3 linked regions of the Canis lupus familiaris genome follow. The protein of the gene in region 2 purifies or fractionates together with the protein of the main gene of each other region. This does not show direct contact. Links are inferred from orthologs where the notes say so. Each region holds a gene or a part of one and is shown on either strand. Other genes may lie near its edges. The genes, in order: CDC37, PSKH2 and HSP90AB1.

Evidence for each region.
Region 1: the proteins of PSKH2 (region 2) and CDC37 purify together in Homo sapiens (affinity purification with mass spectrometry; 3 studies listed by BioGRID and IntAct, counting the BioPlex papers as one, with this or other methods). This does not show direct contact. The link is inferred for Canis lupus familiaris from reciprocal best matches to the Homo sapiens genes PSKH2 and CDC37.
Region 3: the proteins of PSKH2 (region 2) and HSP90AB1 purify together in Homo sapiens (affinity purification with mass spectrometry; 3 studies listed by BioGRID and IntAct, counting the BioPlex papers as one, with this or other methods). This does not show direct contact. The link is inferred for Canis lupus familiaris from reciprocal best matches to the Homo sapiens genes PSKH2 and HSP90AB1.

The regions. Positions count from the first base shown.
Region 1 is NC_049241.1:51,126,891-51,133,296, forward strand, and holds part of CDC37 (hsp90 co-chaperone Cdc37), read left to right. Parts: intron 1-4,158; coding exon 4,159-4,440; intron 4,441-4,784; coding exon 4,785-4,893; intron 4,894-5,006; coding exon 5,007-5,122; intron 5,123-5,207; coding exon 5,208-5,330; intron 5,331-5,816; coding exon 5,817-5,999; intron 6,000-6,081; coding exon 6,082-6,153; intron 6,154-6,406. UniProt on the Homo sapiens protein: Co-chaperone that binds to numerous kinases and promotes their interaction with the Hsp90 complex, resulting in stabilization and promotion of their activity. Inhibits HSP90AA1 ATPase activity.
Region 2 is NC_049250.1:32,955,940-32,962,773, forward strand, and holds the start of PSKH2 (serine/threonine-protein kinase H2), read right to left. Parts: upstream 4,698-6,834; coding exon 4,519-4,697; intron 72-4,518; coding exon 1-71.
Region 3 is NC_049233.1:12,844,065-12,851,134, reverse strand, and holds the start of HSP90AB1 (heat shock protein HSP 90-beta), read right to left. Parts: upstream 4,688-7,070; 5' UTR 4,670-4,687; exon of another isoform or gene 4,659-4,669; intron 3,630-4,658; exon of another isoform or gene 3,466-3,629; intron 2,684-3,465; exon of another isoform or gene 2,358-2,683; intron 2,039-2,357; coding exon 1,892-2,038; intron 1,605-1,891; coding exon 1,398-1,604; intron 1,289-1,397; coding exon 1,129-1,288; intron 985-1,128; coding exon 851-984; intron 726-850; coding exon 417-725; intron 1-416. UniProt on the Homo sapiens protein: Molecular chaperone that promotes the maturation, structural maintenance and proper regulation of specific target proteins involved for instance in cell cycle control and signal transduction. Undergoes a functional cycle linked to its ATPase activity.

The sequences.
Region 1 (6,406 bases), on a different chromosome or scaffold from region 2:
AGCTTGGTCTGTTGCTCTCAGACACCCACATGTGCCTGCTCTAAGGACCCTCCCAATTTGATTCCAGATTTACTGCCCCTTCTTTTTTTGTCTGTTTGCCCCCAAATCCAGATCCCAGAATCCTGTCTGCTTGTTGTCCCATCTCCCTGCCCAGCAGTGCTCACAGGACAACAGAGCAGCTCTCATAAGACTTAATATTCTAATCTCTTGCTCCCCCAAATCGGAGCTTCTACACCCACATACTTGTGCGTGTTATACTCTCACTTTGAGGGCGTATACCTCTCAGAACCTTCCAGTTAGGAATTCCTCACTCCACCCTCGCATATGGCAACTCCCAGTCATTTATCCAGAACCTCCTAGAAGGGCCCTTCCCCATCCTGTGGTGTCTTTAGTCCCTACATCTGGTCTCCAGTACCATTTCCAACCCTTACCTTAAAGCAGCACTCTTGGGTAACATACCTACCAGGCAAGCCACGGAGAATGTAAGAAGAAAGTTCTAGCACTTCCATTTTTTGCCATGTGTAACATTTTATTATGAAATGCTTAAGACTCAACACAGAGCTCTAAAGACTGTTCTTGGGAGTACCTACTTTTGTCACATAAAGAGGTTAATCTATACAGCTATGTGGAGAGCATTTTGGTCCTGCTGGGTGGGAAACCAGTGCCCCCTCTCCTGCAGAGTTCTCCCGACCCTGCCTTCCTCCCTCCTGGAACAGAACCTTTTCTTGTCCTGCTGAGGACCCTATGGCTGTAGTGGAATCAGGTGGGGGTGGGGCGGGGGGGAGGGGAGAGAAGCATCTCTAGCCCCAGCTTCAGTGACAGGCAAGTTTGGGTTCTAATCCCAGCCCTACCACTTACTGCTTTACTTTTCCTGCCCCTAGAGACCATCCGAAGAATGAAATGAGATTAGGCCTGACAAGAACTTGGCTCCGGGCCTGGGAGGGAGTAAGCATATAGGAGGGGGAGGCAAGATTAGGAAAAAGGTAGCCTGCTGCACTTCTGAGCACAGGCCTGCACAACTGGGTTCCAGTCCTGGCTCCTGAATCACTGACTTACTGCATGACCTCCAGCAAGTTGTTTGATCTCTTTGTGCCTTGGTTTCCCCAGTTGGGAATATTAAGGGTATCCACCCGATAGGGTTGTTATGAGAGGTTACTCTATTGAGTACGTGTGATGTCCTTAAGGATAGCACGTGGCACGTGATAAGCTCTCTGTAAACTTTAGCAGTTACCGTCATTGTTATTGTTTAGGTAATCCGTGCTCCGGGAAAGAAAGATTCCAGAGGTGCCAGAAAGAGACAAGGGAGTGTCCCAGCCCCACCTCCCTTGTCCAGATACAGCTACTGTTAAACTAGTTTCTTGGGACTCCTTTCATCAAACTATGGCGCTGTGATTCTGTGAGCGTCAGGTTCTTTGTAAGGCTGGAAGGTGGTGACACCTGCAGGTCCCAGCTTCCTGCTGTGGCCCCTGTCACACCCAGGCTGCCACAGCCCCTCCCAGAGGTGGAAAGCCCGTGCTGGGCAGGCTGCCGCCCCCACCAGCTCCAGGAGGCCTTTATTTAGCTCCAGTCTCCCTGGCGGCCACTCAGAGGACATCGAGAAGAGCTCAGTGGCCACCCAGCAGAAGCCAGCAGGGTGGTAGGCTCCTGCTGCCACCCGAGGCCAGCTAGAATGCCAACCCCAGAGAGCCCCGCAGCAGGAAGCCCCCAGGGCACCCCAGGCCCCAGAGGGGAAAATGGCAGAGCCCCAGGCCTCTCTCTTACTCTTCCAGGAGGCAAGGGCCCTTTCGGCCTTGACACAGCTGGGGAAAGTGAGACTCTGGACTGTCAGCAGTCCTGTGGGGCTAAGTTAGAGAAGGCTCAAGGCTTCCCCATTCTCACCTACTGCGTGCCTGACTCTGCTCAAACTTGGAGATACAGCCTCAGAGAAGGCCCAGAAGTGAGTGAGTGAACCACTCTGGGGCCAGTGGCCAGGATGGTGACGCTAACAGCGGAATGTGTTCATTACGTAGGACTGCGTGCAGTTTCCTGGGAGTAACTCCTTTGATGCTGCGTTTTTCCCAAAGAGGAACTAACTCCAAGGCTAGAAGTGTTTAAGTGTCTTAGCCAAGGTCACGTCACCAGTACGCGGTGGAGCTGGGTGATGTGACAGTGCGGTAACAACCACTCCCAGGTATTGAGCATGTGCTCTGGGTTGGAAATTGATGGAAACACTCGAAGTATGCTTTCTTGTTTGAGCCCCAGAATGGTCAAGAGAGAGAGAGAGATTGTCCCCTTGGATAGTAATGGCAGTCGCCACCACGGGAATGGTGCTTGCCGAGCATCCAGCATGGCTCTGGACTGTCTACTTTGACTTAAATCTCCTTTGCTTCTCCTGGTGCCGCTCGGTGAGGTCGGTACTGTTGTCTGCCTTTGACAGATGAGGAAACGGAGGTCCCTAGAGGTCAGGGGATTGACCCAAGGACCCCAGCCTATACTCAGTAGCCACGGCTTATGACTCCACATCTGGGGCCCTGAGGCTGTTCTCCAGTGTCTTATCATGCTGTCTGATGATCTTAAAGGGGGCTTTGAGGCACAGTGATGGGGAATGGGGGGCCCTTGGGGAAGGCTCTGTAGAAGCTGAGACCTGGGGCCAAAGGACATGGAGTGAGAGGAAGAGAGTTCCAGGTAGAAGGAGCAGCCTTTGCAGAGTCCAAGAGTCAAGAGCGAGCTGGTGCATTTGGGATCTGCCTGCAACCTAGAATTGGGAAAGGAGAATGGGACCCTGGCCCCCTGGGGCCTTGGTGCCACTTGGGCAGCTTGGAGTAAGGCTTTGGGATCCCATCTGAGCGTAGACGCTCCAGGTTGGGGTGGCAAGAAGGGCTGCAGACAGATGTGCGAATTTCCAAGACTGGCAGTCTAGCTTGGAACAGCTGTGGAAGGTGGTGGCACCTCTCAGGGCTCAGTCAGGGGCTTTGGATTGAGCAGGCACTGCTGAGAGCTGGGGGAGATGATGGAGCAAAGCAAGGGTGGAGGACAGACAGGGCCATGTCATGTTGTAGAGAGTCTTGTGGGGACCGGAGCGAGAGGGGGAACGAGGGCACCATCTGAACTTGGGGTGCAACAGCAGAGGAGGTCTGGGGAGCAACAGCTGGGGTAGGGGGGACAGGAGGCCGGTGGGCACCGAGCTAAGGCTCAGGGTGGGTGTGCTGGCCCGGAGACATAGCTGATGGGGCCTTGGGCAGCCATCCAGGAGTAGTTCTCTGGGTGGACCAAATTGGAGAGACTTCTAGAAGCGAAAGCTGTCAGGACTGGGTAGGAAAGAGGGAGGAAAGGACAGGACCAGTGAACAGGCCTCAGTGGGGGGCATCGGAGGTTGTTGGGCAAGGGAGGGCACCTGAGTGTCACTGAGGGCGGCTCCGGGGAGGACGAGTGGCCTGAGACCCCCATCCAGTATTTCCTTACTTTATTCATCCAACAAGTGTCTCCTGAGCCTTGACTGTGCACTTGTGTGTGAGACACAAGTGAGCAGATCCCCCATCTCTAGGGACCCCACTCCTCAGAGAGGGACAGTGTTGAGAACAGTAAATAATTGTCACCAGGTTGCCACCAGATGCTAGCAGGTAATGAGTGCTGAGGAGGAAGGTGAAACAGGGCACAAGTAAGGGGAGGTTGCCATCTTCATTCAGCAGGGTGGTCAGGGAAGGGCCTCATCTGTAAAGTGATGTTTGAGCCAAGATGGCAAGGATGTGAGGGAGTAAGCTGGTTTGGGTGCCAGTGGGGGGAGTCTGGAGAGAGAACTTTCCAGGCTGGGGCAACAGCTAGTGCAAAGGCCCTGAGTTTAGAAGTGGGTTCAAGAAAAGACAAAGCAGCTACTGTGACTGGAGGGAGGGGGCAGATTGTGCAGGGCCTTGTAGGTCATAGATAGGACTTGGTTTTCTGCTCTGAGTGACATGGATGCCACAGAGCCTTCTGAGCAGGGTTGGGGGTGGACACACACAAAGTAAGGTGTGTGCAGGTATCCTGGTGGGATGGAAGCTGCCCCCCCAGGGGGGCACAGAGGGTGGTGCACACATTCCCTGAGGCCATCCCAGGTGCAGGGGGTGGGAGCCCTGGGTGGGGCAGGGCCGAGGTCAAGGGACCAGCCTTTCCCCGGAGTGCAGGGCTTGTGTCTGCCCGCAGGCCCGGGTGGAGCGCATGGAGCAGTTCCAGAAGGAGAAGGAGGAGCTGGACAGGGGCTGCCGCGAGTGCAGGCGCAAGGTGGCTGAGTGCCAGCGGAAGCTGAAGGAGCTGGAGGTGGCCGAGGGCGAGGGCAGCAAGGTGGAGCTGGAACGGCTGCAGGCCGAGGCTCAGCAGCTGCGCAAGGAGGAGCGGAGCTGGGAGCAGAAGCTGGAGGAGATGCGCAAGAAGGAGAAGAGCATGCCCTGGAACGTGGACACGCTCAGCAAGGACGGTTTCAGCAAGGTGGGAGGGGGCCAGCAGGGTTCCCCCCATGCAGGGGCTGGTGGGGTAGGTGGGGGTAAGGCCTGGACAGCTCAAGGGAGGGACGCCCTGGCATGGAGAGGGTGGAGGGACAGGTGTGGGGCTGGGTGGATGAAGCACCCCACTGGTACCCCCCTCTGATCTGCCCGAAGGCCCTAGTTCGAGGCCACACCTGCCACACCCACGCTCCCGCCACACTGATGCTCATGGCGCCGTCACCACCTCCGCCGTGGAAGGGATGGGCGCTGCGGCCTCGGCCCACCCGGCCGTGCTGGAGGCGCTCTGCGGCCTCGCCCCAGCCCACTCCCCCTCTCGCCCCATCACAGAGCATGGTCAATACCAAACCAGAGCAGGCGGAGGAGGAGTCGGAGGAGGTGAGGGAGCAGAAACACAAAACCTTCGTGGAGAAGTACGAGAAACAGATCAAGCACTTTGGTGAGTTGGGCCGTTGGAGGGGGCCGGCAGGCTAAGGTTAGGAGGTTACACAGGACAGGGGCTGGTCCTCTGCCTCTGGGGCCCCTCAGCACCTTGCCAACACCTTCTCGTAGGCATGCTCCGCCGCTGGGATGACAGCCAGAAGTACCTATCAGACAATGTCCACCTGGTGTGCGAGGAGACAGCCAACTACCTGGTCATCTGGTGCATTGACCTAGAGGTGGAGGAGGTGAGTGGAGTCTACCCCGGGACTAGGGGAAAGCCCTGCCCTGAGGCCACCACTTGGTGACATCCTACCTCTTCTCCCTTGGCAGAAATGTGCACTCATGGAGCAAGTGGCCCACCAGACCATTGTCATGCAGTTCATCCTGGAGCTGGCTAAGAGCCTGAAGGTGGATCCCCGTGCCTGCTTCCGGCAGTTCTTCACTAAGATCAAGGTAGTGTCCCCGAGGAGCCAGGGTCGGGTGGGGTGTGGGCCTCTTCAAGGCACCAGCCTCCATCTACAGGGGGTATATACAAAGGTCCATTCAGACTTGGGGCCGTGGGATCAGAACCTGTTCGATCAGGGGAGGCTGGAGACATGGAGGGGCCAGTAGTCAGCCCCCGGTTTGAAAGACGGGGTGTGTGGACAGTCCCGACGTGGGGTGAGGGACAGAGTCAAGGATGCCTTAGGGTTCCCTCACCTGAGCACCTGGAAGCACAGAGCTGCCCATGATGAGGCCTGGGAGGCTGAGGGCAGGGCAGCCTGCGGGGAGCGATCAGAGCTTGGGTGAAGACATAGGTGAGGTGAGCATTCACAGGTCTGTGACTCAAGGCAGGCACGTGGTCATTAGCACGTCAGCAGTAAAACCAGCCTTCGGGGGCGGGCCCATGGGAGAGACGGACCGAGCCTCTGAAGAGATCTCGGCCCTCCAACCCTGCAGACAGCTGACCGCCAGTACATGGAGGGCTTCAACGATGAACTCGAGGCCTTCAAGGAGCGCGTACGGGGCCGCGCCAAGCTGCGCATCGAGAAGGCCATGAAGGAGTACGAGGAGGAGGAGCGCAAGAAGCGGCTGGGTCCTGGTGGCCTGGACCCTGTTGAAGTCTATGAGTCTCTACCTGAGGTGTGGCTCCCCGGCCCTGGGTGGGCAGCAGGCAGGACCCCCAGGAAATGAGGCCCTGACCCCGGCCCATCTGTACCCGCAGGAACTCCAGAAATGCTTTGACGTGAAGGATGTGCAGATGCTCCAAGATGCCATCAGCAAGATGGACCCTACCGTGAGTAACCACTCCCCAGGCCCACCCACCAGCCCAGCTGAGTGGCGGGGGCAAATGATATGTCCCCTGCCCCCCCTCCAGCCCTGCTCCCCACATCGCTGGTAGAAGTGTCCCTTGTGGGCTTCACGGAGCAATAAGGGAGGTCATGTCAACCGTGTGGCCAGCACATGAGCCAGCCTATGGAGGATCTACCGTGTGATTACATCCAGCAGTGAACTTGGAACTTTGAGCATATCCCCTGCCACTGTCACTG
Region 2 (6,834 bases):
TGGTGGTCTTCTGCTCCACCCTGACAACCTTGCTGAAATTGCCTGTCCCAATAAGAGCCTTGATGTCGTATCTATTGGGAAGAAAAGCCAAATCTGTTATCCTCTGAAGTGATGTTTCTTAAAAATTATCTGAGTTGGTGCTTTATATCATCTTTTCATCTTTACATCTCCCTATCTGATTCTTTGCTCGCTATTGCTTAATTATATTTATTATATTTGAAAGCCCCCCCCAGATTCATCTTTGAAATGGAGGTAAGCAATGTTAAAGCAATCAGTTGGCAGAAAGATAACTATTAAGACAACCATCTTAATAACAGCAGCTACCATTTAATTAGATACTTATTGTATGCCAGAAAATTTACTTTTAAAAAAATATTTTTTAAAAAATTTACTTAGTAAAAAAAATTTTTTTAATTACTTTTTTTAAAAATTTACTTTTTAAAAAAAATTCTTGGGATCCCTGGGTGGCTCAGTGGTTTAGCGCCCGCCTTCAGCCCAGGGAGTGATCCTGGAATCCCAGGATCAAGTCCCACATCGGGTTCCCTGCATGGAGCCTGCTTCTCCCTCTACCTGTGTCTCTGCCTCTCTCTGTGTGTGTCTCTCATGAATAAATAAATAAAATCTTTAAAAAAAATTCTTCTTACAATGTCCCTATCAGCTAATATAATACTATCTATCCCCCTTTTTCAGATAAGGAAATGAAGAATAACATAAGTTAAGTGATTTCCCAAGGCCACGTACATAGTAGTTGAAATGGATAGGATTTAAATCCAACCCCTTCAAGTGTGTTTCACCAAAATTCCCTTGAACTTTGGGACAACCTTCTACCATTTTCGTTCCTCCCTCCAGCCCTTGTTTTTACTATTCTGAAACAACAACCAACCCAGGTGGAAAGAGTACAGAAAAGAAACCTAGTCCTGTTTATAGCCTCTCTCTCATAAGAAGTAGGAAATCATATCAAAAGACAGGGCACAAAGAGTCTTCTTCAGGTTACTTGATTGTGAGCACACATGCCCTACTGCGCCCACGATAGCAACCTTGACAGATGATCACTGATAAACACGTCTGATGGGGGTGGTGTTTGAGCCACCGTTTCCTCCCAGCTTATTCCCTACACTTACACTTTCTACCCAAGAAACCGAATTTTATCAGGGGATACACGTTAATGTGTAAAGTCATTATCTCTCAGCTAGTATTTCAAAGGCTGGTGATCTTACACTTGAACTATCTGTGTAAACGTCTACGCCAATTTAAGAATTTTATCAAGTTTAACTGCCTATCTGAGAGATGTTGAGAAAGTGCATCACTTAGAATCATGATTTTTACAGCTGGAAAGAATATTGGAGAATGACCGAATCCAACCCCTCATTTTACAAATGAGGAACTCTGAAGATCAGGTTAGCAGATTGATTAAGTTCTAGAGTGAGGATGAGAACCCAGGTCGCCTTATTTTTATCATAATTTGCTGCTCTTCCCCTTTATTAAAACTTCTCCTGGGAGAGGAGGCCAGGGAGTGGAGTGTGCTGAGGGGAGTGTGCAGGGAAAGGTAATGCTTTCAACTGCACACTCAGTACCAGAGATTCAAATGCAAATATAAATCTGTGTTGTAAATAGCCTTACTTCTTTTTTGCTGAGTTCATTCTTCCAGTAGTTTTCCCCCCTACCTCTCTGTTCCTTATATTTCTATGCTTCCTGAATAAAAATGGCATTTGGCTGCACTGGCTTACAGAAAACAGCTTTGTTCTATGCAATGCCTTTAATTTTCTGGCCAATTACTTTATCAAAACAGACAGCAATTTACTCATCTTAAATAGATTCTGTTGCCTCTTCTCTTTCCAACTTTGCTTTTTCATTCACGTGCACACTCAGGTTGATTTTGAAGATAATCACAGGCATTTCAAATGCTACTGCTTTGCAGACTGACCAAAATTTACATTTACCTCTAATGTGGATGAAAGCACTTTGCAAGTACTAATTTTTCACTCCGCCTTCAAAACTGCAGGCAAATTCATTTGTTCATGGAATTAATCATCCATTATCAGCTGCATTACCATCTCTGAGGAACTACACTCTTTTGTTTAAATAAAAGGAGCTTTATTCAATGCTGCTAAGGGGCCCTCATATACCAAATACTTGAAAAAATGCTAGTCATCTGGCATTGAAGGAAACCGTAGGCTTAAAGCCAAAATGTAGAGTACTGGAAATAAATGGTTTCAGACTGAACAACAAATGTCCCATAACAAATTCCTGTAACTGCAGCCTTGCTTGATGGCCATGGATGGTGACCATTTTTATGACTTGAGTGGCTATATCTTTGCAGCACCTGGCCCAGAGGGTACAGCAATAAATGTTGAATGAAAGAATCACTCACTAAATACATATTATTTCCAAATTATCACTTATATTTCGAAAACATTAAGGATCAAATCAAGCATTGGAGAAGGCATTTACAAGGCCATTCCATTCCTTCCCCTTCCACTCTTCTGCTCCTACCCACCGCCCGACCCTCAAAGTTAATTTTGTAGGTGGTGCAATTTTACATCATCCTCAGAATTGAAATCATGACTCTAACTTCAGCTGCTACAGACTGGGAATTTTTTGAACATGCATACAAAAATGAAACACGGAAACAATAATAATATCACAACCTATTTGATAGAAGCAATTATAATGAACTCCCAAGAAGAAAGTGCATATAGTCAGATTTAAATTCTATCATCTCTATTCTGCAAGAGTTATAAATAGAGTCACAATGGAGAAGAAAGACAACAGTATTTGAGACTCAAGTCTGCCACTGACTTGAACAAGTCACTTTATCATCTGGGGGTTAACTCTTCATCAGGTCAAAAGCCTTGAGTCAGTCGCTAGAGCCCTTACAATGTTGTGACCTTCCCCGTCTATGACCCCTGCACACTCTAAAGAACTGGGACTACCCTGCACATGGAGGTTATGAGAGTGGGTAAGACTAGACCACAGCAGCCTCATTTCTCTGGCTACAGATGACCAGAGATGCCATCTAACCAATTCAGAAGTGATAAGATCCCTCCCATGTCCATTCTGATTTAGGTACAATTGGATCAGACAACTTTGTCTCCATGCTTAGCAGCTACTGGACTAATCCACAAGGTCTCCTTGTATTAGAAGTTCCCCCGTAGGCCAAGAAGTGGCTCTGCACAGACTCTATTCACAGCACTGCGGGGAAGTGAGCATACAATTCAAGAGCTGGAAATGTCCCTGAGAAGCCAGATGAGCCACCCACCAAGCCCTGCAGGGTGGAAGAGGATTTCATGATTCTCTTCCTCTGTACGTCTGCCATGATACACTCTGGAAGTTATTTTTTCAGACCAACCAACCTATCATCCCTGCTCATTTCGTACATAGGGGTCAGCTAGGTCTTATGTGCACCTTAGCTCAGTAAAGACTTGATTTGGGACGCCTGGGTGGCTCAGCGGTTGAGCATCTGCCTTTGACTCAGGGCATGATCCTGGGGTCCCAGGATTGAGTCCCACATCAGGCTCCCTGCATGGAGCCTGCTTCTCCCTCTGCCTGTGTCTCTCTGCCTCTCTCTCTGTGTCTCTCATGAATAAATAAATAAAATCTTAAAAAAAAAAAAAAAGACTTGACTCATGAACTAAGCAGCACAATTTGAATGTATCACTTTAATTATCCTCACAACATTCATATGGGGTAGATATTATGATTATTCCCATTTTACTGAGACCAAAACTGAGGAAGGAGAGAGGCTAAGGAACACTCTGGTCATCCAGACATATGATAAAAGACACAGGAGTGGATCTCAAGTCTGGCTGACTCAAAGCCTTATTTCTATTCTATGAATTACGGTCTCCTTTTCCAGAATGTGGTCAAGATCCTTCACAAACAGGCCTGTCTGGACCCAGCCCCAGCGTATGTGTGGCAAGGCCCCCATCAGCCATGTAGGGCTTGGGGGACCCTCTCCTTCCTTCCCCAGCTCTGAAGTCCCAGATTCTCCCTCTTTCCTTGCTCCTGTCCCTCCTCTACTTTCAGTCTGGAATCCTCCCACTCCTCTGCCCTCCCTGTTCAGAGGGTCAAACAGAATCTGCCCCAACACTTGTTTAAAAACCATGAGGAAGACTCTGTCCCAAGACTATCAGGACTGGAGTCCAAGCTATGGCAGCAGGGGAGGGGACTGGCTTCAGCCCCGTTGAGACCAGAGGCCAGTTTTCAGCCCTGGGCGAGCTAGTAGAAGAGGAGTCCTAGAGGAAGGGCCTGCGGAGGGAGCCGGTCCGGCAGGTGCTGGCCCAAGGTGGGCAGAGACCCGGAGGAAGCGGCCCCCTGATTGCATTTCAAGGGGAGGGTGCTCCGGTCCTCGGGAAAGACCTTCCTGCAAGACTTTTACATCTCAAAGGGGTTAGAGAAAGAACTTAGGGCCCTCAGGGGCCTTGCATCCCAAAGCAGCCCGCCTGGGGTTTAATCAGGCCTCGGGGAGGGTTCGGGGCCTTCCCCGCCCGGGCCCCGCCGCGGGGCCCTGCACCTTACCTGGCCAGGACGCGGGGGTGGAAGTGGGCGCGGAAGCGGGCCACCTGCATCCTGCGAGCCGCCTCGGCCACCGCCTCCGGCCCGGGGCCCCCGGAGCTGCCGCGGCCCTCGCGCTCCTGCCCGCCCGGGACCCGCTCGGGCGCCCCCGGGGTCACCTTGGTGCTGGCGCCGCAGCCCATGCCCGTCGCGCTGGGAAGGGCCGGGCGGGCGGGGCTGCGCTTAACCCCGAGCCCCGGGGTGGGGTGGGGTGGGGGGCGGGGGCACCTCCATCCGCCCCACCCCACCCCCCGGGCCCGCTTGGAAGGAACCCCCACCGCGGGCCTCTGAAAACAAGCTTGCAAAAGGTCTGGCTGCCAGTAGGCCGCCTGGAGGGGTCAGCGACCCCTTACCTCCGCGGAGAGGCCGAAGCCTGGGCCTGTTTTCTCATCTGCAAAGTGGAGATGTGAGCCCCCAAAATGATGGGAGTCAATGAAGGATCTCATCATCTCTCAAGGATCTTCCTGTTTCCAGGGCCGAGCTCATATCCAGATGGCAGGAACATTGAATGCGTATATGGTTTAAACTCTAAGAGCTTGTGACATCTGAAGTATGTAATAAGAGGCTGCTCTATTGCATTTATTTTTTTTTAAGATTTTATTTATTTATTCATGAGAGACACAGAGAGAGAGAGAGAGAGAGAGAGAGAGAGGCAGAGAGAGAAGCAGGCCCCATGCAGGGAGCCCGACATAGGACTTGATCCCGGGTCTCCAGGATCACACCCCGGGCAGAAGGCGGTGCCAAACAGCTGAGCCACCCCGGCTGCCCTATTGCATTTATTAAACACACTAGTTTCTTTCTGGTACTGCACTAACTCTCCTACAGCGGGAAGGGCCTTCCCTCTGGATGAGGCATTGCAAAGAGAAAAACTGGGAGAAAACCAGATGTCTAGAACCCAGCCCAACACGTAATGCAACTACAAGAACAAAATATATAAAAAGAAGAAGAAGGAGAAAATGATATACTCTCTTTATATTATGTGGAGACTGTGTAATATTATCACATAATATCTAATATAATTATATTATGAATATAGTTATTATACTATATATAATCTTATGTTTTAGATAATTCAACTTTGCTTTCATAACTATCCCTACATGTATGGGTGTGCATATTGTATATATCTGATAAATATTTCTTTTTTGATAAATGTTAGTTTATGTATTGATTAGTTATCAACATATTGATTATATATAATTTACATTGCTAAATGTTAAGTAAAAGATGTGTGGAAACTGAGATTCAGTCAAGACCAAGCTAATCAAGATGAGGCACCCCTAGCAAGTTGTAGAGGCGGAACCGGAGGCCCAGTCCCAAACTTCCAATGTGGCACTCTTTCAATTTGCTTTATAACTTCATTTAATTTTTAGTTTGACTTAACAGTATCTCTGATGAGTCAGTTAGCCGCGAATTTGCCCAGAAGAACTCTATTTTGAAGGAAAATTTAAGACATGTCTTATGGGTAGCTGAGGGAAAAATGAGCCTATCCTGCAAAGGGAGCTAAACTACCCAATAATGAATTTTTCTTGATAAAGAACCCCCAGGATTCTCCAAGTACTGGGAAACAAAGAGAGAAGATTGGTTTTAAGCAGGTTTTAAACTGCTGCGGGGGTCTCAAGCTTTCAAACTAAGTTGCAGAATAAAAAACATAAAGCAAAATGGAAATGAAAAGAAAAAGGGAACAAATGGACAGAAGTAAAATGTCAAGGTGCTGTTTAAAGAACAGTTTTCCATGGGGCAGCCCCGGTGGCGCTGCGGTTTAGCACCGCCTGCAGCCCGGGGTGTGATCCTGGAGACCTAGGATCGAGTCCCACATCAGGCTTGTTGCGTGGAGCCTGCTCCTCCTTCTGCCTGTGTCTCTGCCTTTCTCTCTCTGTGGCTCTATGAATAAATAAATAAAAAATATTGGGGGAAAAAAAAAGAAGAAGAAGAACAGTATTCGTTACCCAGAGAGCCCTAGTGTATGGGGTGTTTGGATATGTGTGGCCCAGCAAATAGGAAGCATTTACTCTAAATGCTGAGCCTGGGCAGCAGGGAAGGCGCCGGGGCGCTATGAGGCAACACTTCTGTGGTCTGGGTGCTATGCTGGCTGCGCAAGCTCTGTGTCCTGGCCACAACTGGCTGCACAACAGGAAGAGATTTGTCAAGAGCCTCTCACTAAGCCTGAACCACATTCTTTGAAAATTGGCCAATAGGGTCACTGATCTTCAAGTCTTTAAGAAGGAAAACCGTAATAGAACCATTGATTAGTTCTCTTTTGGGAAGCACCAACTAGTA
Region 3 (7,070 bases), on a different chromosome or scaffold from region 2:
ATCTCACTTTGGCTCAGGTCGTGATCCTGGTGATCCTGGGATCTAGCCCCGCCAGGTGCTCCCTGCTCAGTCCTCCCCCTCCCCCGCTGCTCTTGCTCTCTTTCTCCTCTTTCAGTTGCTACTCAAATACAGTATCTTCAAAAAACTAACCTTTTACCCTGAATTAACCTACAATGGCACAGCTACATATAACCCTTAGATCAATGAGAAAACAATTCCATCAAGAACCTGCCATAGAAATTAAGTGAGGTCATTGGAAAGGATGTCTCTCTTTACCGAAGCGTCCCCAGTAAGTGAATGGACAGGACTCCATGGCATTCAGTTCCCGCCTACCAACCAGTTGAACAAATTCCACCAGTCTACCACGGCAACACCCTCTGCCTGCTCTTCCTATTGGGTCAGCACGCATGGCTCACCTTGACTGCCAGGTGATCTTCCCAGTCATTAGTAAGGCTCTTGTAAAACTCTCCATATTCCTCCTGGGTGATGTCATCAGGGTTTCTGGTCCAAATGGGCTTGGTCTTGTTCAGTTCTTCTTGATCAATATATTTTTCCTTAATCTTCTTGGTCTTTTTTTTCTTGTCCTTCCCACTATCATCCTCCTCATCTGAACCCACATCTTCAATCTTGGGTTTTTCCTCATCATCTTTATCTTCTTCCTCTTTCTCCCCTTTCTCCTCCTCTGCCTCATCATCACTAATTTCCTTCTCTCGTTCCTTCTCCAACTGAAGTACCAAAAAAAAAAAAGAAAAAAAAAAGTTCCAGAATACAGAACACCCAAAATTGGGGACCATGCAATCCTCCAGAACGGCAGACATCATACACGTGATGATTACCAGTACATACTCACATAAAGAGTGATGGGATAACCTATGAACTGGGAGTGCTTCTTCACCACTTCTTTGACACGTCTCTCCTCTAAATATTCGGTTTGGTCTTCTTTAAGATGGAGGATCACTTTGGTACCCCGGCCAATGGGCTCACCTAGGAAACATCAGTCAAGACAACATAAGGACACAAAACTAAAAGCAGAATTATAACAAAAAACCAACTACAGACAACATACTTAGTAAGATCTAGATTATAGACGTCCCCAGAATTCTAACCCAAACAAGAACCTCAACTTACCATGGTCTGCACGTACAGTGAAAGAGCCCCCAGCAGAAGACTCCCACGCATACTGCTCATCATCATTGTGCTTTGTGATAACAACCACTTTCTCTGCCACCAGATAAGCAGAATAAAAGCCAACACCAAACTGTCCAATCATGGAGATGTCTGCACCAGCCTACCAGAAAGTTTTAAAGTCAAACGCAAGTTAAAATAAACAAACAAAAAACACACCAAAGAACATCCACAAAAATGAATGGTGCCTGTCTAGGTGAAACAGTACATACCTGAAGGGCCTCCATGAATGCTTTAGTGCCAGACTTGGCAATGGTTCCCAAGTTATTTATGAGATCAGCTTTGGTCATACCAATGCCTGTGTCCACCAGAGTCAGGGTGCGTTCCTGGGGGTTCGGGATGATGTCAATTTTCAGCTCTTTACCACTGTCCAACTTGGAAGGGTCTGTCAGGCTTTCATAGCGAATCTTGTCCAAGGCCTAAAAATACAAATTTCAACTTTACATTTCCACTTCCTAAAGCTCACCTCTTCATCCAGAAGAAAACCTTTGAACTTCCAAGTAGCACCAGTTCTGATTTCCCCAACTTGAGATTTAAGAACCACAGCAGTTAAGAGTTACCATATTCCCTCATTCCTATAAACCAAAAAAATTTTAGAGCAGGTTTAGGCCCCCTCCAACAGCAGCCCCGTAAAATCCCAAACCCTTTTCCGTTTTCCTGAATGCTAAAAACAAAAACCATAAACAAAAGTGCCCAAAGCACTCACATCAGAAGCATTACTGATCAACTCTCGAAGAAAAATTTCCTTGTTAGAATAGAAGGTATTGATGATGAGGGACATGAGCTGGGCAATTTCTGCCTGGAAGGCAAAAGTCTCCACCTCCTCCTCTCCATGGTGCACTTCCTCAGGCATCTAAAATAAGAACAGTCAAGAATTACAAAAGAACACCGTGGCCCCATAGGTAACACTCCGTTTCACCCTACTCACAACGAAGACTCAGCTTTTAGTTGAAATTGCTTTGGGCTGGATAGTAGACATATTCCTGAAAAACTAGAAAACTTTTCCCTCAATGATTTCAGCCTATACCCTTAGTGGAAATCCAATTCAGGAAGAATTTTTAAAAGCTTCTCTAACACAACACACGACGTCAAAAGCGTTTTGGAAAAACACCTTGGAGCCTAAGTACTCTAAGTGGTCCATGGGACCCAACAGACTCCGCATCACCGAGTACCTCGTTGAAAATGCAGATCGGATCCAGGAACACGAAAAGGACTCCAGATAATTTTCAAGAGAAAAGCACTGAATACGGCTCTATTTCTTTTGGTAGGACAAACGGTAGCCCGAGGCGACCAATTTCGGGTTAAAAGGAATTCGCAATTGGCTCTCCCGCTGGGGGTCTCCCACATCAAGCACCCTGGAGCGCAGGGGCCGACTACCCCCGGGGCCGGTGGATACCCGCCCAAGCGGCTGAGACAAAGAACCGCTAAGGCAGAAGCTCCATCGCGACCCCAGCACACGTGACTACAGCGTGGGACCAAACCAAACATAACCAAGATGGTGGCCGTCGTCCGCTGGGCAGACCCTCGTCACTGCCGGACGTGCGTCGGCCAGGGCCACGCGAGGAGGGGGCGCCACCGCGCAGCCTCCCTTCGCCCCAGCATCCGGGCACCAGGGCGGGGCGCCGGGTTCCAGAAGCTTCCAGAACAATCTCAGCTCTTCGGAGAGGCGGGGGAGGAAAGGGCCCATGAATCTTCCCGAGCTTGCCCCCTCCACTCCCCTCCCCCACACCGACACTGCAGGAAAGATCTGGAAGGAGAGGAAGCACTATGGGCCAGAGACCGCCGTCAAACGTTGCTCGCCGAAGGTCACAGAAAAAAAAAAAAACGAAAACCCTTGCAAAACGCGTCCCAGGGGACAGATGGCACAGGCGGCACGGGCAGGCCAGCCCCGGGCCGTGCTGAGTCACGTCCAGCGCGCACACCCACAACGCGCGGGGACCCTCCGGCGCCCCGTAGCCGCGTCCGGAAGTGGAGGGGCAAACATGGCAGCGTCCCGGCCGGCGCGGACACCACGTGCAGCTGCCCACCACCCCCAGCCCGCGCCGCGGCCCACCTCCCCCAGCGCCAGGCGCCGCCCGCGGGGACGCCCGCCACCAGGCACGGGTGAGAAAGCAAGTCTAGCTCGCGGTCCCCCTCCCGGCCACCCCCGAAAGCAGTTAGGAGTCGTCCCATCCCACAGGCCGCTCCCACTCCACGAAACCCAGGCTTTAGAAAGGAAACGAGGAACGAGAGCAACTCAAGAGAGCACTCCAGGCAGGAAAACCTGGAAATAGCTACGACTTTACCTTAAAGGGGAAGAGCTGCAAGCACTACAGACCACGGCGGGCAGGGGCTGCGTCCGGCTACGACGCCGAACCAAGGCTGCGCGGGGGTGACTCAAGAGAGCGGCTGTGCGCCCCCGGCCGCTCTATATACGGCGGAGCACAGACCAGCTGCCGGCCCCCGGATCCCTCCGCCTTAAAGGAGGGTGCAGCTCAGCCCCGCACCTGCCGCTGCCCGCCCACCTTGACGTCATGGCCCAAAATGGGGCGGGCGGGGGGGGGGGGGCCGCCGGTCTCGGTCTCCGCCTTCAGAGTACGCAAGTACATCTCTGCTTTTGCAAGGCATGAGCTCCCTCCGAGAACTAAAGACTGGGAACGTCTTATTTCATATGAAATAAGTGGGGGATCTAGGGGTGCGGGTGCCACTGGCCTTCCTATAAACCATGAGGCAGGCGCCTCCCCACTCGAGTCCTGGCCTGGAGGAACACCTATAAAGGTGGAGGGCGGGGATAGAAGCGGCCAACCGCTCCGACCTCGGCTCCCGGGTTCGACTCTTGCTACAATCTGCCCTCCAGACCCCCACAACCCGAGAAGGGGAAGCAGTTTTCCTTAGGGACGGTGCGGAATCCGGGGTCTAACCTCAGGGAGGCCTTGCGCCCCGGCCCTCCCAGGGGCAGTGGGCGAAAGCCGCGGCTGTGCGGCGGGGTGTGGCTCCGGCTGGGGGAAGGGCCCTGGCCGGCACCGGCAGGGGGACTCTTTGCCCGCGTCCGGCGGAAGGAGCGGCAATGGTGGTACTGCGATTACTTCCAGCAGTTTCCAGACCCGCCTTGGCGGCCCCGCCCCCGCCCCGCCCCCTCCGTGCAGGCGCCGCCCCGCCCTCTGCGGCCTGGGCCGGGTGTCCGCAGCCGCCGCGGTCCCCGGGGAGGAGGCGGGCTGTTCCCCTATTAACCTGGGAGCCCGCGGGGGGGACCCTCATCTCCCACCTGCCGGTTCGGCGAGCCCAGCGCTCCCTCGGGAGTGGGATGGAGCATAAAGGGAAAGATTGACCCCCCCACCCCCGCCATCGATCCCACGGCCTGGGGCTGTTGGGGCGGTGGTGCTGGCGCCGCCTTCGGGGCGCAGAGACCCGGGGACGCATTCGCCATCGCGGGGGGCGGGGAGGAGGACCCTCCCCTACTTGTGCATCCGCCCAAGTGAGTGGGACCCGGAGACCTGCGTCTTCCCTGCGTGAGCACACGGAGCTGTTTCCCCATCTGGTTTCAGTTTGGGCCCTCTTCGCTCCTGCGGCCGGCAGACGGGAGGAGGAGCGGGCCCCCTTGCAGGCTGCCAGAAGTCGTTCCCCTCCAGCTGCGGCGCGGGCGCTCCCGAGCCGTTAGTCGGCCGGGAGAGCTGTGGGACGCCGTGGCTCAGCCCCTTTCGCGCGCCTTCCAGAGGGGAAGCCGTCCTTGTCTACCTAAGGCCTCCCCTAGGAATGCCGTCGGACCCACGGCCCCTCCGGAAGAGAATGGCCTCTTGCTGCTCTGTGACCTTGTAGGGGTCCATCCACTTCTCCCTGGCCCACAGGGTCGTTCCCTGGAATCCTGGGGAGGGGCTGCCTCCGGCACCACCGCCCGCCGTCCTTCCTCAGCCTTCTTCCTTCCTTTGTATTTCCTTATTCATATGTTAAATTCCGAAGAACAGACCTTCCAATTCCTTATCTTTTCCCCAAGCACCAGACCTCATCACCCAGCCACAGCCACCACTCCTATATTTCTCCTTACTCTTTTATTCAACCCCACACACACACCTGTTTTAAAGATTTTTATTTACTCATGAAGACACAGAGAGGCAGAGACAGGCAGAGGGAGAAGCAGCTCCATGCAGGGAGCCAGACGTGGGACTCGATCCAGGGTCCCCAGGATCATGCCCTGGGCCAAAGGCGGCGCTAAAACCACTGAGCCACCCGGGCTGCCCCCTATTCTCCTTAATGGTGTGTGAGAAATCTGTGACTTGGGGAAGTTAATGTGTTTGGGAAGAGCTGTGGGTGCTGTTGCCAGGAATCCTCCAGGATTCTCTGTTCCTGATCAAGATCTCAAACGAAGTGTGTCATCCCTCAACATACCCTCTCTCTTTCTGGGCAGAAGGGGCCTAGAAAATTAAAAACCTCCCTAGTTCACAAAGAGCATTCAAACTATTTCACAATACTGTGAAGAGGTAAAAGTGAGTCTCCCGTTCTCACTGGGAAAGCAAGGCTTCAGTGAGATCAGTCAGCTCAGAGCCTCTGTTGCACCAACCCTCGCTCCTTGCTCCAGGAATGGAGTAGCAATGCTGTCTCCCTTCCCAGGACCCAAGTCCAAAGCAGCAGAAATCACTCCTGTGGATCAGTATTAAGACCAGAGACTCCCGGGGTCTTCTAATGGGAAGATCTCAAATCACGCACTAGCACAGAAATTCTGTCTTTTCTGGAAGGCTCTCCCACTCGCTGACACTCACTTAAGCCCCCCACAGTGAGTTCCTGGGATGCAGAATTGCAGAAACAAGATGGAGGTTTCAGCCCCTAGAGGGCTGCAGCAGGCCAAGTGTGAACCATAGCAACAGGAGAAATATCAGACTCCCAGCTCAGCCTGAGGCAGGGGACAGGCTTAGGGCCAAGGCTGGCCAGTCCCTGGCACAGGTATATGTCCCAGAAGAGGGAGAAGCATGGAATGGCACAGCCCTGACAGAAGGACCATAGCCTGGGAGCCCCAAGAGAGGCAGAGGCATTGAAAGTGGCCCTGCAGGGAGAGTTCACAGAGGGCCATGAATGCTGTGCTAAGACATCTTGACCTGAACTTATAGTGAGGGAAGCCACTGAAGGCTATTAAAACCAGCTTAAAACCTCCTAGAAAGGGATCCCTGGGTGGCGCAGCAGTTTAGTGCCTGCCTTTGGCCCAGGGCGCGATCCTGGAGACCTGGGATCGAATCCCACGTCGGGTTCCTGGTGCATGGAGCCTGCTTCTCCCTCTGCCTGCGTCTCTGCCTCTCTCTCTCTCTCACTGTGTACCTATCATAAATAAATTTTAAAAAATTAAAAAAAAAAAAAAAAAACCTCCTAGAGCTCCAGAATCCTATTCCCTGCGGCACATGCAATGCTTACTGTTCCCAAGATACTCTGTTCCTGACCAGGTCTCAAAGACCCAGCCCAACCTTCTGTTGTTGGAGGGTAGCCAGATGAAGCAAGAACTGACAAACTGGCCTGCAGCTGGTGGGTCTGTCGCTTGTTTTTATAAGGCTCATGGGGAAGAGTGTTTTATACATTTTTTAAATTGTTGAACAAGTCAAAAGAAAGATAATATTTTAGCATGTGAAAAGTACACGAAATTTGAATTTGTGAGGACACCTGGGTGGCTCAGTTGGTTGGTCATCAGCCTTCCACTCTGGTCGCGACCCCAGGGGTCCTGGGATCTAGCCCCATGTTGGGCTCTCTGCTCAGTGGGGAACCTGTTACCCCCACCCCCCCAGTCTCTCCTCCTGCCACTCCCCCTGCTTATGTGCTTTTGTGTGCTCTCTCTCTTTGTCAAATGAGTAAGTAAAATCTTCAAAAAAAACTTTTTGAGGGCAGCCCAAGTGGCGCAGCAGTTTAGCGCCACATGCAGCCTGGGGCGT